Oryctolagus cuniculus: one gene and its partner. The protein of the gene in region 2 purifies or fractionates together with the protein of the main gene of each other region. This does not show direct contact. Links are inferred from orthologs where the notes say so. Each region holds a gene or a part of one and is shown on either strand. Other genes may lie near its edges.

Region 1 (3,648 bases), on a different chromosome or scaffold from region 2:
CTCTTCCCCTGAGAGACAGGCAAAAGAGATGGGAAGAAAAGCAGTGACTTTCAAAGGTACTAAGTACAGTACAAGGACTTTAATTTTGGAATTCAAAAGTGATTAACTAGCATGTCATGCTGTCTTTTTCATTAAGACGTAATTTTTTTTTTTTTTTTTTAATTTTCTAAGGTTCTACATGAAATGCGAGGTTTTGCCTCCTCCACTTCTGGTCTAAAACCTTCTCTGCCGAGCTGCAAGGAAGGGTTAGCCAAGGTTAAGGCCAGGCTGGCTTCACGTAGTCCATTCTGCTGATAGCTGGCGACATCCCAATCAGCTTCAACTGCTGACCCCCAAGTCACACTTTCTGCACCACCTACTTTTCTTCTTGTTGATTTTTGCCTCCAAAGCTTCATTCACAGTTAAGGCCCACTCATTGTAAGACTCTGCTCGAAGCTTCAGTGCATTCATCATGGGGTAGAGGTCATCCAGAGTGTATCTATATCTGGAACAGAATCCCAGGCTTAGCTTTCAGAGAGACGTACCCCACCTCACGTTCCAGGCCTAGAACAGCAGCGCCACTGTGAAATCATTCTTCCTACTCACCGCAACTTGTACTTATGAGGAGGACAGGAACACAACTCCTTGACGTGGTGCAAGCACACGAGCAGGCCAGGTTTACAAGAACAGGAGATGGCAGACATGAAGCATGTAGTTTTACATTTTACACACTGACGCTCATCATCTGGCAACAGCTCAAAATCCATTCTTTCTGAATCGATCACTCCCTAGAATAAAGGTTACTTTAAGAGGCTTCTAAAGAACAGTAAAACTCCCAGCCCCAAGACAAGCTTGCAGGAGGTGAATTAAAAAAAAAAAAAAAAAAAACAACTTAACCCAAGTAGAGATGCATGATTACAGATGTGTAGGACACAAAGTAACAATGACCCAGCAAACAGAAGCAAGTGAGTAGACTTCACTCACGTAGGGAGAATCCCTTTTTAGACAAGGTAGGGTGGGCTTTATGTTTGGCCATTTTGGTCTGAGTATGACAACAGCTAAGAGGACTCTTGGACGACCGAGGTTAGTTGTCTATCCCACTGCAAGCCAGCCATCTGCCATCTCTGTATTCTGGGTACAGATCAAAGGGAATGTACATGCTTTTGACTTCCAAGGAAATACTATGTAGGGCTTGAGGGACGCTGCTGGAGAAACTATGAAAAAGTACAAAAATGAGGAGGAAGACAGGCAGCCAGAAGACCACATGCATAAACAATGCGATGGAGCAGGGTCTCAGCCTGTTGCACAAGTTTGCTGAAGGGCTGTCATCTGAGTCGGTTAGGGCATTTCTGCACTAGCAAAGCCTCAAGTCGCAAGAAGGATTTCCTAAACGAAACGCTGTGAGGAAACATTTCAATCATACTTTGCACCATTGGACCCCTGTGGGATATTCCTTCGTCATTCAAAACCAAACTGGTACTGCCTTTTCTCCTGGTCTGGAACCGGATCCAAATCCAGCCCTGGGAATGCTGGTCCTAATCAAATCCGCCATGAAGCACTGTGTTTTAACCTTTTCACGTGTGACAGTTACAGACAAGAGTAAGGAAACACCCATGAGTGGAGTGTGGCTTTCATTTACAACTGAACACAAGGCCTTGATGGAATGGAGATATTTGGAATTCCTGTTTAAAGTGAGATTAAGGACTAACTCCAGAGATTTTAGCTGGGAGTGACTCAAGCAGTTTATACCCAATTTTCATCTGTGAATTCCACATCTGGTTATCCTTCTTCTAAAATGAGCGCCTGTTCCTGATGAAAGCCACTGAAGCTTCCTGGGCACAGCTGTTCCCACCTGTGAGACACAGGGAAGGCGGGCTCCAGAGAGCAACACTCTAGATTCTAGAGGTATGTCCAAGAGTAATTCAAAACGTTCCATAAAATGGAATCAGATTTTTTTTTTTTTTTAAAACCTTCGAGGGGCTGATGCTATGGTACAACAGGCTAAGCCACCACCAGTGACGCCAGCAACCCGTACTGGAGAGCTGGTTCAAGTCCTGGCCGCTGTGCTCCCTGCTGATGTGCCCGGGAAAGCAGAAGATGGCTCAAGTGCTTGGGCCTCTGCCACCCAAATGGGAGACCCAGATGGAGCTCAGGCTCCAGGCTCCTAACTTCAACCTGTTCCAGTCCCAGCTGTTGTGACCATTTGGGGAGTGAACCAGTGAATGGAAGATCGATCTCTCTCTCCCTGTCTCACCATATCTCTCTGTAGCTCTGGCTTTCAAATAAATACATTTTGTTTTTTTAAGATTTATTTTATTTGAAAGACAGAGTTACACAGAGGTAGAGACGAAGTCTTCCATCTGCTGGTTCACTCCCCAAATGACTGCAATGGCCAGAGCTGAACTGATCTGAAGCCAGGAGCCAGGAACTTCTTCCAGGTCTCCCATGCGGGTACAGGGGCCCAATGACTTGGGCCATCTTCTACTGCTTTCCCAGGCCACAGTAGAGAGCTGGATCAGAAGTGGAGCAGCCAGGACTAGAACTGGTGCCCAGATGGGATGTGGACGCTGCAGACCAGGCCTTTAGTCTGTTGTACCACAGCACCAGTCCCTAAGGACTTGTTTTTTTTTTTTTTTTTTTTTTTTTTTAAAGGCAAAGCATTGGAACAGACATTTCATGGAAAACAGGTTCAGGTGGCAGATAATTTAGATAGTCAATGAAAATTAAAACTACTATAAGATTATTATACACCCACCAGAATGGCCATGAAGGGAATTACATACATTAGGAAATGATGACACTAAGGTGCATAACAACTTTATTATGTAATACCCAATGACACGAAATTGGATTTCCAAAAATCTTACCAATTTACGGACAGTTTCCCTCAGAGCCTTCTCATCCTCGATCATGATGGCCATGTCCTTCTGAACAGTTGAAGCCACTACCACGTCCAGTACATCCGCCTTGGAAGCCATCTTGCAAATCATCTCATCGTGGGAGAACACGCAGTAACGGTGAAGCAGGCGGTAATGCTCCACGCACTGCCGGCCTAGCGGGAGCTGGGGCAAAAGACAGAAGGAAACATCAGTTCATCTTTCCTCCACTTGCAAAGACTTATGGGTTGTACCACTGAACTACCAAATATCACACTCCATGGTAGCACTTATTTATCAACCCTAAAATCAGAATGCCAGAATCCCAGCTAAGTCCAGGCCTTATTATCTTACCCTGCAAAGATACGACAGATTAGGTCACTCAGGTAAAAATCAGTGCTGTAACAATGTGTTAGTGTCCACACCAGTGTGGCATCTGTTTGGAAACTGCATTTGCACATTTCCTGAAACAACTGTAAAACGCACTATCACGAACTTAGAATCTATCAGCCTTAACAGCACACACACTCAATCCTGACAGGTCTCTCCAGGCAAGTGAAAAACAAGAGCAATGTCAAAATCGAACTTTTTAACTAACTGAAACCAAACGACACGACGACAGCCGTCCGACAGCCGAGCTGTAGATCATGAGAACAGGTGCCACACAATGCGGCGTCCTGCCCTGGATCAGTTACCACTGCAGAGAGACCCTGAGCTTCAGCCAGAGGCCATCAGCAGCCTCGCTCCATGAAGAAAGGCTCACCACGCCGGGGAGGGGCGGCCCACCTCAGCA
Region 2 (4,348 bases):
TGGAAACAAACCTACTGTGCTGCCATTCATAGGTATTTATATAAAAGAATATTTAATAATTATAAAAGACTATACTACTGGTTTAGGGATTTACTAGACTATGCTTTTGTGTTGTTATTTTAGATATTCCTTCTACTTATAAAAACAAAAGTTTACTATAAAACAGTATATTGTGTTACACTTGCAACAGTCACATATATTTTACATTTATCACATCTTGATGCATCAAGAGGCCATTTGGGGTGATTGAGCAAGATAATCAAGGTTTATGTTAAGTACATTCTATGATATTCACACAATGACGACATCATCTAACAGTGCATTTCTCAGAACACGACCCTTCTGTTAAGTGGTACATGGCTGTAGTGAATCTATAGTTAGGGGGTCTATGTTAATGAAAATCTTTATGGGTATGAATAATCAAGAACAAAATGATATCTTGTATATCCTTGACTTGTAGGAAAATTTTTTATAATTCCATCATTTAAGAATACAAGCATATTTCATTTTCTTGTATTTTGCTTTACTGCACATTACAGATACTGCATTTTTTTTTTAATAGAAGGTTTTGGGAACCTTGCACATAGCAAGTCTATCAGCATCATTTTTTCAACAGCTTGGGTGGTTGCTAGCAATTTTTCGTAATAAAATATTTTTAAATTAACGAATGTACATTGTGCTTTGAGACACAGTGCTAATGCACACTTGAGAGACTATAGTATAGTACAAAAATAAGTTTAAATGCATAAAGAAACCAAAAACTTCGTGTTACTCGCTTTATTGCGATATTCACTTTATTGCAGTGGTCTGGCATGGAATCTGCCATTTCTCCGAGGTCTGCCTGTATACTGTGCTGGATGAAAAATGAAAGAAACAAAAGCCTTCTTCTCCCAGGGGACGGCCAGAACTTCATTTCTTGTTACCATACAATAATTGAAAGTGCTTCTTTAGAACAGGCATACATTACTGCTCTTTTCATGGACAAGTACAATGGCATTTAATCAAAAACTAAAGTGATATCTTCTCCCAGCATATCCCTCAGACCTGGCTTTGTTTTTGTTTTCACTAGTGAGTATTATTTTGAACTGACACGTTGTAAGATAGTCCATTTAAATATGTTAATTTTTAATAGCTTTCCAGAGTCCATTTCCAAAATTCTATTTCGATGTTTTACAATTCTGTCTGAATTCAGCTAAGATTCCATGGAGTGGAAGGAAAGATACTATTCAGGGGGCACAAAAACAAGACTTGGTGATAGACTAGAGCTGGGGAGGGAGTGCCACTGGAAAACCAGCGGCATTCCCGGGCAATGGCTAGAACAAGCACTGACAATAATCCTAACTCTGCCCGTTCTGTACTAGCAACTTCACTGTAAAGCCTCACGATCAAGATGTTGCAATACAATAAGCATCTTTCTGTCACGTAGCACTGCGTCCATGAGGACTTGCTTAAACGTAGAGATTCCACTCGCTAAGGGGTGAAGGGGTGACAGCGGAGTTCCAGGTGAGCAGAAGAACACCATTAATTTCATACCAAACCCAAACAAAACCAAAAAGAGGGGACACCAAGCATCCCTGCTGGCTCAAAGTGAAAGGCAAAATGTAATAACGAGGCATGCGGAGGCCTCGCAAACACGCAAGCGAGTTCTTCCATCAGAAGAAAAAAAAAAAGAAGAAGAAGAAGAAAAAGAAAATGGAAAGTTTGGTAACTTTCAAGCGCTTCACTAAATGTCTCAACGAAACTTTAGCCCAGAGGCCAGTTCGTGTAAAGAAAGTTAGGCTCCACCAGTGTCTACAGCCGGCTTTAAATCCTCGAGGCCTCCACACATTGTTTTAGGGAACCCCACAACGCCTCGCGGCCGTGTAGCCCGTGGGCAATTCACACCTAACACCCTGCCCTTCACGTCCAAGGCCTTCCCGGGCCTCTCCCAGTTCTGAGCTTCGGAGGTAGCGCACGCCCAGAGGAAAGAAGAAAAAAAAAAAAAAAAAACAAAAAAAACAACTTCCAACTGTTGCGTCGCAGGGGATCGAAACAGAAAGTCAGGCGACCACCGAGGACTCCAGATCTCCACTGGAGAAAAACTCGCCAACACACGTACCATTTTTGTACTTTAAAAAAGAATTTTTTTTTCGCTGCATGAGGGCTGGTAATCAGCCGTCGGCTGCGAGCCGCTGTCTCGCTAGAGGAGACTGCACCTGTCACTTCGCTCAGGGACCCGAGCCCCACCCGCCCGACACCTGTCAAGCTGGAGCCGAGACCCCTCCAGCAGCCCTCTCCCCGTCGCTCACGATCCCGGATCTCTGTCACCGCCCCGCAGACGCTCCGCTGCCGTGGAGGAGGCAGGGAGGGACCCTCGGACCATCCCGCCGCCGGGACCGACCCCGGCGAGGATGCGCCCGCGCCCAGCCGCCGCGGCTCCCGCCCGCCCGCCCGCCGCACCCCCGGGACTCCCTCCTCGCGTGCCGGCCGCAGCGGCGGCGGTGCCCGCTCACCTGGCCAGAGGCAAGTCCTCAGGACCACTGTCCTGTTCCGCGTCCTCCTCAGGAGGCGGCGGCGGCGGCGGCGCCGGGGGTTCCACCGCGGCGGCGGCGGCGGCAGCTGCTCTTCTCGGGGTTTTGGGCGGCATGACGCCTTCTCAAGGCAGGAGCAGCGAGCTGAGGAGGAGCGCCGAAAACTGACGGCGCGCGCGCACCTCGGGGCACGCCCCGTCCCCTCCCGACTCCCGTTACAAAAATAATTTGAACGTCCCCTGAGAAAAACCGGACGCGCCCTCCCCCGCCCGGCAACCGAGCGCCGCGTCCAACCGCGGGAAAACGTCACTTCCGCCCGCGGCGTCACGTCCGCGAGGCTCTCGGGCCCGCCGGCGTCTGGGGGGAACCGGGGCGCCAGGCGGTGCGCGGGCCGGGGCGCGAGGTCGCGCGGGAAGGCCGGCGCGGGTCCAGGCACCCCGCTGGGAGCCCTGGGTGCTGCCCGAACGTGGTTTTCTCCGAAACTGCCCCCCGGTGGGCCGGTGTCGCGGCTTTACAAAGAACCCGGTGGGTGACACGGGGGCCGCGTCGCTATCTCTGGGTCTGGGCGGGGAGCGCTGGGCGAGGGCACCCTGGGCGGGCACGCCCCTCTCCCTCTCCCTCTCCTCACCCTCACCCTCCTCCTCCTCCTCCTCCGTGGGCGGCGCCGTCCCTCCCCGCCTCTCTCCTCCCGCCCGCTCGGTTTAGCCTCGCATCTTTGGCCAAACAACAACAAATGGGGAGCACCGCGTAGGTGTGGAACTCTGCTGGCTTCTGGCGCTTGGGCAGTGCAAGACAATAGCTGCCCTTTTTGGGGGGATCGCTGGGTGGAGAGGCCGCGGCTGTGGCCATGAACAGACCCTAGCTTATAGAAGGTCTTAATGGTGATGTAAAAAGAGGCGGCACCATCCAGACGTCAAAGGGAGGTTTTTGGAGGGGCAGTGGCAATTGAATAGAAGTTTCCTAGGCCAACCCATTATTTAAGGAGCGCTTGCTGTGTACCACAGACTGTGTGGAGCACCTTCTGTAATTATCTGGAATCCTCCGAAATGGCCCTTTAAAAGGAGGGCGGGGAAAGGGTACAAGTGCACTTAAGAAAGTTCATGAAAATGACATTAAAAGAGGGATTTATTCGTGTGCCAAAAACGTTTTGAAATCCGTGCGTATTGGGGATCTTCAAAAAGTTCGTCGAAAATACACATTCTCAAAAACTAGGCATGGGTTTCAAAAGTGTTCACGCCCAAATAAACTTGGCTGTTAATTCCGTTTTTCCACGAACTTTCTAAGGTATACCGCCTGGTGTTAGCCTTTCACGTTGTGAAGGGAGACGCAGGCTTGGAGAAGTTAATTAATTTGACCAAAATCACAGAGCAAAAGGAAGGCAGAAGGCTTGCACTCCACTTCTCCGTTAGGTTCTGTCAATGAAGAAGCCAAGCAGGAAGTGCAAAGGCACAAAGTCAGCAAAGAACTTAGTGGAGCCACCACCTTAAAACTCTGGCTGAGAAGCTGTGTATCTGTCTCTTGGTATTTATTTATATTAATAGATTGTCTAATTTAAAAAAAATTATTTATTTGAAAGGTAGAGTTACAAAGAGAGGGAGAGGCAGAGAGAAAGGTCTTCCATCCACTGGTTCACTCCCCAGATGACCACAACGGCTGGAGCTGGGCCAGTCCGAATCCAGGAGCTTCTTCTGGGTTTCCCATACAAGTATAGAAGCCTGAGTACTTGGGCCACCTTCTACTGCTATCCCAGCCCACAGCACAGAGCTGGATCAGAAGCGGAACAGCCAGGACTAGAAGCGGCACCCATATGAGATACTGGTGCTGCAGGCAGAGGCTTA

Evidence for each region. Proteins that work in one complex are often made in the same cells at the same time.
Region 1: the proteins of RB1 (region 2) and KDM5B purify together in Homo sapiens (affinity purification with western blotting; 3 studies listed by BioGRID). This does not show direct contact. The link is inferred for Oryctolagus cuniculus from reciprocal best matches to the Homo sapiens genes RB1 and KDM5B.

What each region holds. Positions count from the first base shown.
Region 1 is NC_091444.1:18,514,403-18,518,050, forward strand, and holds part of KDM5B (lysine-specific demethylase 5B), read right to left. Parts: intron 3,042-3,648; coding exon 2,847-3,041; intron 768-2,846; coding exon 586-767; intron 485-585; coding exon 360-484; intron 1-359. UniProt on the Homo sapiens protein: Histone demethylase that demethylates 'Lys-4' of histone H3, thereby playing a central role in histone code. Does not demethylate histone H3 'Lys-9' or H3 'Lys-27'. Demethylates trimethylated, dimethylated and monomethylated H3 'Lys-4'.
Region 2 is NC_091440.1:67,324,849-67,329,196, reverse strand, and holds the start of RB1 (retinoblastoma-associated protein), read right to left. Parts: upstream 2,825-4,348; 5' UTR 2,627-2,824; coding exon 2,493-2,626; intron 1-2,492. UniProt on the Homo sapiens protein: Tumor suppressor that is a key regulator of the G1/S transition of the cell cycle. The hypophosphorylated form binds transcription regulators of the E2F family, preventing transcription of E2F-responsive genes.